3 linked regions of the Styela clava genome follow. The protein of the gene in region 3 binds, or shares a complex with, the protein of the main gene of each other region. Links are inferred from orthologs where the notes say so. Each region holds a gene or a part of one and is shown on either strand. Other genes may lie near its edges. The genes, in order: eukaryotic translation initiation factor 3 subunit K-like, eukaryotic translation initiation factor 3 subunit G-like and eukaryotic translation initiation factor 3 subunit C-like.

What was found.
Region 1: eukaryotic translation initiation factor 3 subunit C-like (region 3) and eukaryotic translation initiation factor 3 subunit K-like share a complex: the UniProt entries of both Caenorhabditis elegans proteins name them as parts of the eukaryotic translation initiation factor 3 (eIF-3) complex. The link is inferred for Styela clava from reciprocal best matches to the Caenorhabditis elegans genes eif-3.C and eif-3.K.
Region 2: eukaryotic translation initiation factor 3 subunit C-like (region 3) and eukaryotic translation initiation factor 3 subunit G-like share a complex: the UniProt entries of both Caenorhabditis elegans proteins name them as parts of the eukaryotic translation initiation factor 3 (eIF-3) complex. The link is inferred for Styela clava from reciprocal best matches to the Caenorhabditis elegans genes eif-3.C and eif-3.G.

The regions. Positions count from the first base shown.
Region 1 is NC_135257.1:16,823,966-16,827,570, forward strand, and holds eukaryotic translation initiation factor 3 subunit K-like, read right to left. Parts: upstream 2,090-3,605; 5' UTR 2,056-2,089; coding exon 1,402-2,055; 3' UTR 602-1,401; downstream 1-601. Other genes in the region: negative elongation factor B-like, read right to left, coding at 400-553. UniProt on the Caenorhabditis elegans protein: Component of the eukaryotic translation initiation factor 3 (eIF-3) complex, which is involved in protein synthesis of a specialized repertoire of mRNAs and, together with other initiation factors, stimulates binding of mRNA and methionyl-tRNAi to the 40S ribosome.
Region 2 is NC_135254.1:23,799,037-23,802,794, forward strand, and holds the start of eukaryotic translation initiation factor 3 subunit G-like, read right to left. Parts: upstream 2,922-3,758; 5' UTR 2,787-2,921; coding exon 2,767-2,786; intron 1,847-2,766; coding exon 1,675-1,846; intron 1,142-1,674; coding exon 1,010-1,141; intron 887-1,009; coding exon 754-886; intron 561-753; coding exon 411-560; intron 1-410. UniProt on the Caenorhabditis elegans protein: RNA-binding component of the eukaryotic translation initiation factor 3 (eIF-3) complex, which is involved in protein synthesis of a specialized repertoire of mRNAs and, together with other initiation factors, stimulates binding of mRNA and methionyl-tRNAi to the 40S ribosome.
Region 3 is NC_135250.1:3,241,922-3,245,679, forward strand, and holds the start of eukaryotic translation initiation factor 3 subunit C-like, read right to left. Parts: upstream 2,624-3,758; 5' UTR 2,535-2,623; coding exon 2,440-2,534; intron 1,406-2,439; coding exon 1,273-1,405; intron 412-1,272; coding exon 289-411; intron 9-288; coding exon 1-8. UniProt on the Caenorhabditis elegans protein: Component of the eukaryotic translation initiation factor 3 (eIF-3) complex, which is involved in protein synthesis of a specialized repertoire of mRNAs and, together with other initiation factors, stimulates binding of mRNA and methionyl-tRNAi to the 40S ribosome.

The sequences.
Region 1 (3,605 bases), on a different chromosome or scaffold from region 3:
GTGATGCAAAACCTGACCTATATTTGGAACACTCAAATTATATACCAACATAATTCTATCAGCCTTGACATCAAATTTTATTCCAAACACCGTAATTTACATGGCTATTTCGTAAAAAAAAGGCCATAATTTGACCCAAATCGTGACATAGCTCTTGGCATGCAAGCCAATAGTCAGTCACTTTGCTGAGATATAAGTCACAATTACCTTATTAAGTGGACGTGCATCACATTACATGAATTGACTTTAAAAAAACCTTTACAGTGAAAATATTAATTTTTGTATTCTTGAAAAAGACTTTTGCAAAAATCAAAAAATTCATACTTGAACTAAAAACTTTTTCACCCCCAATATATCAAGAGTGTTTAATTAACCTTATATATTTTTATATACTTTTACCTAACAAAGGCAAGGCTGGCTGAAGTGAAGGCAACAGAATGCTGTTCTCTTGCTGAAATTCCTCTATAGCACCCAGAGGATCAGTTGTATTGGTCAATGCTTCTTGTAAAAAAGAATGACCAGCTATACCCATATCTTCAAGGCTTTGTGCCATATTGTCTTATCTAGAATATTATCATTAAATTCACAACAAAATTATCAATCTAAAAAGTAATGACATTCATTCACCACCATACGAGAACAGCAATCATATAATTCATCAACATATATCATCCAAATAGCAGCAAGTTACAAGTCAACTGTCTTATAATAGCTTTTAATTATTGCTTATATATAGTGTAATCCATAATACACAAATTCATAATTTGCTTCAGCATCACCTAATGCTAGGTAAGAAAAATCTTAATAAATAACCCGAATTCTTGGAAAAATTGTGTTTCAAAAAAAGGAATTTAATTAATGCAAAAGTTGGTAATACAATCTAGGGGAAACACAATCTTAACTAAATTATGATTGGATGTAGATTATTTATTTTTATCATTACCAAAGAACTGTTAGGTATAGATCTTTGCAACAATTTAAACTTTAAGCATAAACAAAATGATTTATACATCAGTCCAGATGTATGCATGCTTTTTTGTCAGACTATAAACTTAAATTATCAATATAAAATCACAAAATGACGTTCATAACAAAATATTTCAAAATCCAGGTTTCCTGATTATCCACCAACAGAAAACTGGAGAGTATGTATATCAGGAAAGATTGCTGCGGCATTTAAAAAGCTCCAAAAAGTTGTATTATTCTATACATAAACAGTTAAAAACTTTGATTGACAATGTAATTTATTTCAAAGGTATTACAGATATTAGAACTTGCTATTCTGATAGTATATATTCATGGGAAAAAAGCATCATCACTTTTGTCCAGCCATCTGGCAGAATCTGTTGTACCCCAACCAGAAAATCAAACTTGCAGGCAAACTAATAAAAGGTTTAAATATCAACAAGTTGATGCCATAACATTTTGGACTTTCTCAAATCCAACTTTTTCCACAATATTTTTAGTTTTAACTTTCTCTTCATGATTTGCCACAGAAATTAAACCGCCTTCTTTTTGTTTCCAACCACATCTTTCAATCCATACTTCCAATTCATGCTCATTCAAGTCTCCGAGAATCGCACGAAGGTCTCCAATATCAATATTCTGATGAGACACAGACACAACATGACAAATAAACTTTCTGACTGCTTCTTCCAACCCTGCTACTCCACTGATTAGATCCGGTGTTGCATTGACCTCCTGCCAAAAATGAGTGAACTTGCAAGTTTCTATCAAATGATGTAAAAGAAGCAGGCGACCAATGCTTGGGTCCTCTTGCTGATTCTGGTCAATTAGACTGGTGCAGAGAGAAAAATCTGGACTTGGAATAGTGGATAGAGCTTTCAGTAAGATTTGACAAACACTCTGTGTTTGAAAGTAAGCTGGATTGAACTGATAAAGTTTCAAAACAGCTAGATTTGCGGGCAAGTCATAAGAACCGGAATGAACTTGCCAGTCCACATGCTTTTCAAGAACTGCTAAATTTTCCGGATTATATCGGTTTATTCCTTGCAACATTCTAGATATTGTTTCTGGTGATATTGGAGCATCCATTTTTTTTAGTAAAAATACAACTAGAAAAACAAAATATGTAGCAAGTTAACAAATGTCAGAATGTAACTTGACAGCTTTATTATAATAATAAAACAGCCAAACGAATAAGGCTAGAATGATTACATCAAGAGCCATATTGTTCAAATGGATTTAGTAATCTGGGACAGTTTCACACTTTCTTTCTGCAGTTCAGAAATAAGCTCAAGAATTTTTCCAGATACTGCATAACCAATCTGCCAATCTTTTACACCCTGAGGTGGTATCAGTATCAGTCAGTCAGTGGTATTAAGAATTTATTATCTGACAATCAGACATATGGAATTTGGCTTTTACATTTTAGGATAGGATTCACATGTTTATTCCGGGGGAGAGGAGAGCCGATAAGACGGCTTAATCATATGGCGAACCACAGCCTCTCGTCCGGCTTACCAGTCCAGGTCGGGTATGGGATTGGTTAGTTATTTGTTTTCGGAAGCATGGACTTGATGGTGGAAGAAGCCGTAACCGACCAGCAGTTACCTGAACCACCCTACAGGCTACGGCGGCGAGGAGTCTAGCAATCCTCTCGCACATGATCATCCCCGCATGGGATTCGAACCTGCGATCCCACGAAGAGGAATCAGAGATGCGGTGGCGAGCGTATTCCTAACGCTTAGCACGATGCGCCACACCACCGAGCCAAGCACTTAACACTGAAACAAGATTTTAATATAGGCTAATTATGAAAAAATGAGCTTTATTCGGTGTATAATACTGTAAAAGATTGATTGGGCATTCCTATTTATGCATTCGTAAATACCGCACTGCTATACAAGACCGTTTTCAGGTTTTGTAAATTCTATTATACTGTTATACGGTACGGTACCAAATTCTATGCATTTACACAGCTAACTTAGTTCTGCAGTTATTATAATTTTGAAATTCCTAAACACCGATAACTGCAACTCAGGGTAGCCTACATTATTTCCTGAATTCTGTATTTTTTTTGTAAAGTTTGTACTGACATATTGCTGGACGAAGTACGAGTCGGTAACTTGGTGACTGTAACATACCGTACGGGAGTACGGTACCGTAAGTCTGTACACTGTAAGTGAAACTTGAATATTAATAAATAACTTCACGCGAGAGAGAGAGAATTTATTATTTCGTCACGCGGTGATATAACTTTAACATTCAAAAATATCGCTATCACTTTAACATTATACATTTATAATACCGGTACCCCTGTGCTGACTGCAACTCTGATGTTCGTAAATATCGCTTATCCATTATGGTTATACAATATATTAGAATTAGACATTACTGCATTACACGAACGTCAGGACGTTGTCGAAGGAGACTTAGACAAGCAGCGTGTGCTTGCTGACCCCTGACCCTGTATATCAAGTGCCGACTGCCGAGATGCGCGGTTTAGGTGACGTCTCTCACTCGGCGACAATCGAGCACCGAGGTATCACTGTAATTATCTCCCACGTAGCGTTGCCAACCGTCCTTTAATCAAGCTTTTCTGTCCTTTTTAGCATTCAGAAGAAAAAGTGCTAATTGTCCTT
Region 2 (3,758 bases), on a different chromosome or scaffold from region 3:
TTTTACATCAAGTTGTGTGAAGGGACTGGAACCTATGAGCAGGGGTATATTCACTTGGCTAACACAAACAGTCCCCAAACTTGTGATAGGACTAAAATAAGGAAAAAATTATGGCCTAACCCTGACCTGGTACACATACTACGGGAGTACCAAAATAAGCACAAGGTGGAATTTTCAAGCAGATTTTAGCAATGTAACTTTTTTGTTTTACCAAAATCACTGAATGAATTTTACCAAAAGACGATGATATTGTTGTATTTCAAAAATTTAATAAAAAAAAAATTACTACAGAAATGCCTAAATGTGTGTTTTTGTCATTGCAACATGACAGAACTAGTAACTCAATAGACACTAATGTTTTGACTATTATATTTTCATGAGCATTCAGTTAACAAATCCATAATGCAAACCTCTAGCTCCCCGAGATGGCATAGAAGATCCTCTTGCTGTTGCTCCAGCTCTCAAACTTGGAGGGACATACTTTCCACCAGTTCCACCTCCTGGTCCCGCTTGAGTTGGACTATCGACTTCATCTTTTTTTTCTTCCTCTTCCTTTTCAGCTGAAAAATTAAATACGATTAAATCTCAATGTTGAATTTTTCTTTCAGTGATCACTACAAACCAGACTATAACAAAGCGGAAATATGTGCCACGAATGTATCAGGATATCTTTGAACAATAGATATAACAAAAAAATACAGATAAATTTTTAATAAATATTCGACACAAAACCAAACTTATCCAAGATCATACATGGCCTATTTCCTGTCTTGAAATTCTTGAAAAACATGTAATATTGTAGTTGATTACGAAATTTCGATAACATAGGATCTTCTTGATCATGAATTTCCTCCTGTCTACTGTTAATGAACTGCAAGTTCACATCCTGCATGAAGAACAGAATAGATTAGAAACCCAAATTTCTTATGATGTATTTTCCATTCTATACCTCAAATAATTCCTTTGTAATAATTAACTATATATGAATTTACAGTGTAAAATGACTAACTTCTGAAATAATGGTGGTCGCACGATTTGGACCGGGAGGATCCTCCTTTGATACTCCAAATTTTGGTAAATGTTTTCTTCTGGCAACTGACTTTGATGTTTTCTGGATTTCAATCTTGTAGGTACGAACAATCTGAAATTTCATATGAAAAATTTCAAAACTTGTATCTCAAAGCAAAGTTGCATGGATATATTGGATGGATGAACAAAATTAAAACTGACAAATTAGATAAATCTTTATAATTTGAGGCATTTGGGAAATACATTGATTCATGCGCAATTTTAACCCAGTATTTCGATACTTTTATTGTTGCACTACTATTATATTTATTCAGCATATTTATTACGACTATACCGTAAGTTTATTTTGGCTGCATAACCCTGCATTATTAGCGCAAAAAGGAATGACAAATTTAAAAAAAATTTTAATAAAGAACCAGATAGGCAAATATAACTTGGGAATTAGAATAATACCTCAAGTAACTTGATTTGGAAACAGTTTATAATTTAGGCATAAATTAAGTTCTCAATTAATCAAACATGGATAGTATATAATATATGTTTTCGTGATACACAATATAAAATTCCCATGGTTAGTAATATGCCTTTGGTTTGAGTCTATGTATTTGATAAATATATTTAGCAGAATAATGACAAAAAACCAACCTTAACTTTTTTTCCATCTTCGTTTATTTTGTATTCTGTGATAATTTTTGTGTTTCCATCTTTTTTTTCTGATGAAGGCGGCAGTTGATCATGTCCTAGTTCTTGTACCTCTGCTTCTTCTACTTGATCTGCCCAACTCGATGGTTCGGCAGCATCAGCCCAACTCACTTTACTAAATAATAAAACCAAAGTTTCATATGATTCTGAATGTTTTTTAAATTTATCAATATCATATTTCTAACTATGACCAATCTGATATTGCCAAAGATGACATTTGAAAATATTTTCTAATATGGATATCCCTGAAATATGACATAGCAGAAATAGGGGTAACGGAAGATAAAACTTTTTGAATGAAAAATTCAAGATTTCAAGTGATCCGTTTCTACAGCCAAGACAAAACTACCGGCACCACTGCATCATTGGAACAGGCACCAGATATGTCACGTAATTATACTGGCCATGCTGCATAATTACTATGCATTATTTTATCAAAGAAAACTTTATTCTTACTACAGACAATATTACTTGAGAAAATTATTTTATTACTATTCAATCAAGCTTGTTTAAACTAATTAATTTCCAAAATGATGAAAGACATAATAAACCGGAAAATATCATCATCAAAAAACAAGCAGTATTCACTTGCTACTACTCTGATGAAAGTCAGTTAACAATGCTATAACATTTTTTAAGATTGGAATATGATTTGCTTCAATTATTAATTCCAATAGAGATGGAAATAAAAATGAACTTTTCAACAAATTTACACAATGGAAAAATATCAATTAGGAATTGAAAAAAAACTGCAACAAAAACATCATCATGGCACTGGACAGTGCAAAGTAGATGTTATTTGTTACTTATTAATAACCGATGTCCAGTAATATTTCGGTAATTATTTTATAAATATAAACTCAAAAACATTGACTATATACTGAACTGGGTCATGCATATGCTACGATTACAGAAACCAGAAACTTCATATTTTCCATGGCACATAGGCCATAGACCGAAGTTTGTTTGTTGACTTTGATACCTATGGTTGTTCAAGGTTCATGAGCAAGTCTTAGAAATAGAAGTTCCTTTTACCTGCTATCTTCAGACGGCATGTTCACACTGTGATGCTACTTTTTTCGTTGTTCCCTCTTTCAATTTCCATTTTTTTATATTATGTTTTATGTTAAATAAGTTAACATATTTGAAATAAAAAAAACATGTAAAATTGATATACATTAATGTAAATGATTGCTCCAATCACTTGAGAAGTACACAATACTGCATTTGGAATAAATTGTACTGTAGCATTCAACGCAATATAGGAATCGGCCGTCGTGCCAAACGTCCTCGCTTCAGAGACAAATTGAGTTTGTTTTATTGAACCAAATGTCGCGAATCGATGAACTGTGCCCTGTAACATTATATAACACAGTACGGTACATATCTCAGATGTCGCATAAAACAATACATAAAACAAACACTCAATTTGTCTGAAAAGAGGACGCAGAGAACCCATGCACAGTAGGTAATCAGAGGTCTGGAGGTGCAGTGGCGAGCGTATTCCTAACGCTCGGCACGATGCGCCACACCGCCAAACCGAAGTGAGTAGCACTGACTCGTCCTGACCATCGTTAAGAAAGAATGTGATGACTAGCATCCCAGCTATCCTCTCGCATGACCCAGCAATAGGCCTACCGCGAACCACGCCAGGGCTGCCACTTTTGCCTGACTAAAAACATCTAGATTGACCTCGAAAAACATCATGATTGAAAAATAAAACATCTAGAGAATACATCTAGATTTGAAGTCATTAAATTTGATGAAAATCAACGAAACGAGAGCATTCAAAGTTTATTATATTACAGTATTACATAATATTAGATATCGAAGAAGCTAATATCTATTATACTATTTTCAGGTTGTGCGCCATCTTGGTGCACATACTTCTGGAGGTCCCTTTTTACCGAACCTTAACGCCAACCATATCCATATGGAAAATGTTCTAAATTATGGTACCCAAAATGTGTCACCAGCAGGGGCAGACCTGCCATTACAGCATTACTGGCTACATATGTTGGTTTGTG
Region 3 (3,758 bases):
TCCCATAGCTGGTAAAAGAGAAGAATTTGGTGCGAATAATAATATTGCATCTTTGTGAATGAAGAAATGCCGGCGCTCCAGCCATTTATATACTTGAAATGTGGTATATTATGCTAAGTATGTCATTGCAACACTGATTATCCTGTGTGTGTTTACAGGTTCGAATTTTGTGGGGAATGACAATACAGTGGCTTTAATCCAATACAGAATTCGTCACATGATTAAGCTGTCTTATTGGCTTTCCTCTCCTCAGAGATGAATATAAAAATATAAATAAACGAATCAAACCTCATTGATATGGTCCTCAGTTTCAACCAAATTCCTGATGTAGAAAGGAGGAATTCCTTCTTTTGCAATCACATTTTTTGCTTTCACATATTGTTTGCAGAGATTGTCAAAATCATCCAGAACCTGAAAAAAGAAAACAAGAATATCGGTCAAAGACTGAAGACTTATTGATCGAAAGTTAGGGGATCCCCCAAAACAGCGCTATTACTCCATAGTGACAGCTTGTGTCCTATCACTAATTAATTAATAACTCGTTAATTATACAACATAATTCATCCAAAATCAATAGGCTTCTGGTCCGGCATATGATGAATGCACATGCAAAATCTGGAGCAGATTCAATCTCGCTTTCGTGAGATATCGCCCGCATCTAACAGACAGACAAACAGACAAATACCTATCAACATACTTACCGATTAAAATCGATAAGTAATTACTAAACACAACTTGTGACCTAGTAGTGAGAGTGACTTAAATAAACTACCTCGCAGGTTATTAACATCTTGAATTCATACTCATGACCTCACGGAAAGAATCGGGTAGGCATGCAGGGACGCAAGATTCTGGCAATTTCAAAAATAGTGTGTAGCACCTTACATACCAGTGACTTTTTTGTGAGCATGCGCTATTTAGCAAATACAGCCACATTTTTGTTTGTTTTATAATTTACTCAAAGCAAAGTCACACTTTTTCAGTGAAGTAAAGCAAACTCAACCCCTCTAAGACGCACTATGTCCACCAATAATATGAAATTGACACAAAGTTGCTGAGCTTCAATAAAGAACACGAGATGAGAAACATAATTTGTGACACAGTACTAAACCAAACGCAGCAGGTGAAAATAAATAATCAGTTAAGCAATGTTTCTAATATCTATATAATATTCTGTATCGTTTACTGCTTACCGTTTGTGCATATTTATATCAGCTTTATTCATAACAAAAAAATAGAAAATGTTTCATAAAATGTTAAAAATTGAAATACCTTGACCATGTCGTTGATCTTTCTTGCATTTCTCATTGATTTGATCAAATTTTCGAGGCCTTCCCAAGATTTTTCTTTCGCACTTCGCACAACTCTCTTCTGATCTTCTTCATCATCACTCATCAGAAAAACTCTAGGAAAAGTAAAAACATTATGAGTCAGTGAAAAGCAAAAGTAAAGATACTTCCGAAGCATGTAAACAAGATGGCGGACACCGGAACGTAGTATGTGAACTAGGTCAGGCCATAATTTCACGTACAAATACCACTTGGCTAGTCCCCGAACTAGTATAGAACTAAAATGAAAAAAAATTGAAACAAAATTATTGCCTAACCCTAACCTGATACACATACTACATTCCGCTGTCCATTTGAATTTAAACCAGAATAGTGTAGTCTGACTCTCAGTTGGAACGTCTTTATTGTTATTTGAGTGAGAGTTGCATTTCCAAGTCAAAGGGGTTAGATACAGGAATTTGAATTCTTTTTTGTTAGAGTATGAGTTATAGACAATTAATGGTGATAATTTGAGGTATAAATTTGGTACTCATAAAGTATGTAAACCAGGATGGCGGACACTAGAGCGTACTATGTGTACCAGGTTATGTTAGGCCATAATTTTATTCCAATTTTCTTTATTTTAGTTCTATTATGAGTTCGGGGACTAGCCAAGTAACTCCCTTGTAGTGTTTGTACCTGAAATTATGGCCTAACCCTAACCTGGTACACATACTACGCTCCTGTGTCCGCCATCTTGGTTGACATACTTCGGGAGTACCAAACATTTTTGGTAGATCACAAAAAGTATTAACATAAGGATTCTCAGTCTATAATTAAAAAAGGCTTGCATACAACAAACTATTTGCGGGTAACATTGGAATTGTTTGGGGGTCACGCTTATGAAATTTTCAGAATTGAGAGTTCTGATTCTTCTGAATTTCATACTTCTAATGGGGATAACTGAATTTTGTGACAAACCCCAAAAGCGTTAAGTTCACTAAACATTTGAAACAGATAAGTAAAAAAGGATTGCATGTGTCATTCCAAAATACCCGTATCAGTGGCTGCTTATACAGAGCCTTGCTCAGGATGAAGGTGGCAAATCACTATATAAAAATGTAAATAGTAATGGTGGTATATAAAACTTTAATAACGAATTCCACTATACCTAGTTGACTGTGGTCTCTGTGGTGCAGGCGCCATTCCATCATCACTTGAGGACTCATCAGTATCGGAGCTCGATGCTCCGAAAAAACGAGACATATTTTCTTCTTGAAAAATGCAGCCACAAGATCACAAAAATTGTGTTATTTTGGCCAAAATTCTAACTGGAAATAGCAACAATCTATTGCAAAAAAAACAATGTGGCGAATTAAGACAACACTTTAATGAGACATGTGAAAAGTGTAGACAATGAAAAACATATCAATATCATCCCAAAATTCTAGAATGGTAAACTGTAATTCTATGCCTATTTTGATAATATGAATGCTCATGGTATATACATTAACAAGATTTGACTATGTTTCTTTGTAAAAACGTATCTTGAAATTTTAAATCATGTTTATTGATGTTCTATTGTAGATAATTGTCAAATTGAAATATTGGTCATGTTAATGAGTAGCAACAGAAGTTTAATAAGTTGAAACGAATTTTTAAACATCTAAATTATAAAGTGTATAGGTTTTCAAAATTAAAGAAAGACCTATAGTTTCATTAAAAGTCGACTTGTGGAAAAAAGCAAGCAATATTCTCCTGGTCTGTCTAATCAATATAATAAAAGATTGTAATTTTCAACGAGGTCAATAATAAGACTCGAATAACGAATGATACTGAACTGTTATCCTAATGATAATATCGATATGTTTTTCAAAAGTCATTGTCTAGTTATACAATACAAGCAAGGTGAAAATATACAGTTTGACAAACTCATATTAATTGAGTTAAATGAAGCAAAAAATAATATTTGAACTTTAACATGTCGAGCCCAAAGTGGAATATGAAAATAATGATAACTCGCCAAGATTTTTACATTGCCCAGAATGAAAAGAACTTTAGGAAAATATACACAAATAATGAACTTGATATTTAGACTGAACAATTTTTCGTTACCATAACAGACAAGGTTGTACAAAACTATCAAGTATTTGAATAAATTCAAAATTAACAACTTATATTATGAATTATAAATGATAGCTTGAGGTCTAGCAACACGTTACCTACCCAAGTTATGGTTAGGGACAGGGTTAAAAATAAATCATATTCATTGGGGATTCAAAATCCAGCGATAGACCTTATGTTGTAGTGTGGTTGAATCTAGAATTCAATACAAGTTAGTTAATTTGGAATTTACTCAAATACCTGACTTTGCTGAACATGCAGTTTTCAATTCAAACATATTATTTAAATGGCATTTCATGTCATATATAACTTAAGTGATACAGTTTAAATCTGTATAGAAAATTCATGTTCAAACTGAATTTCAAA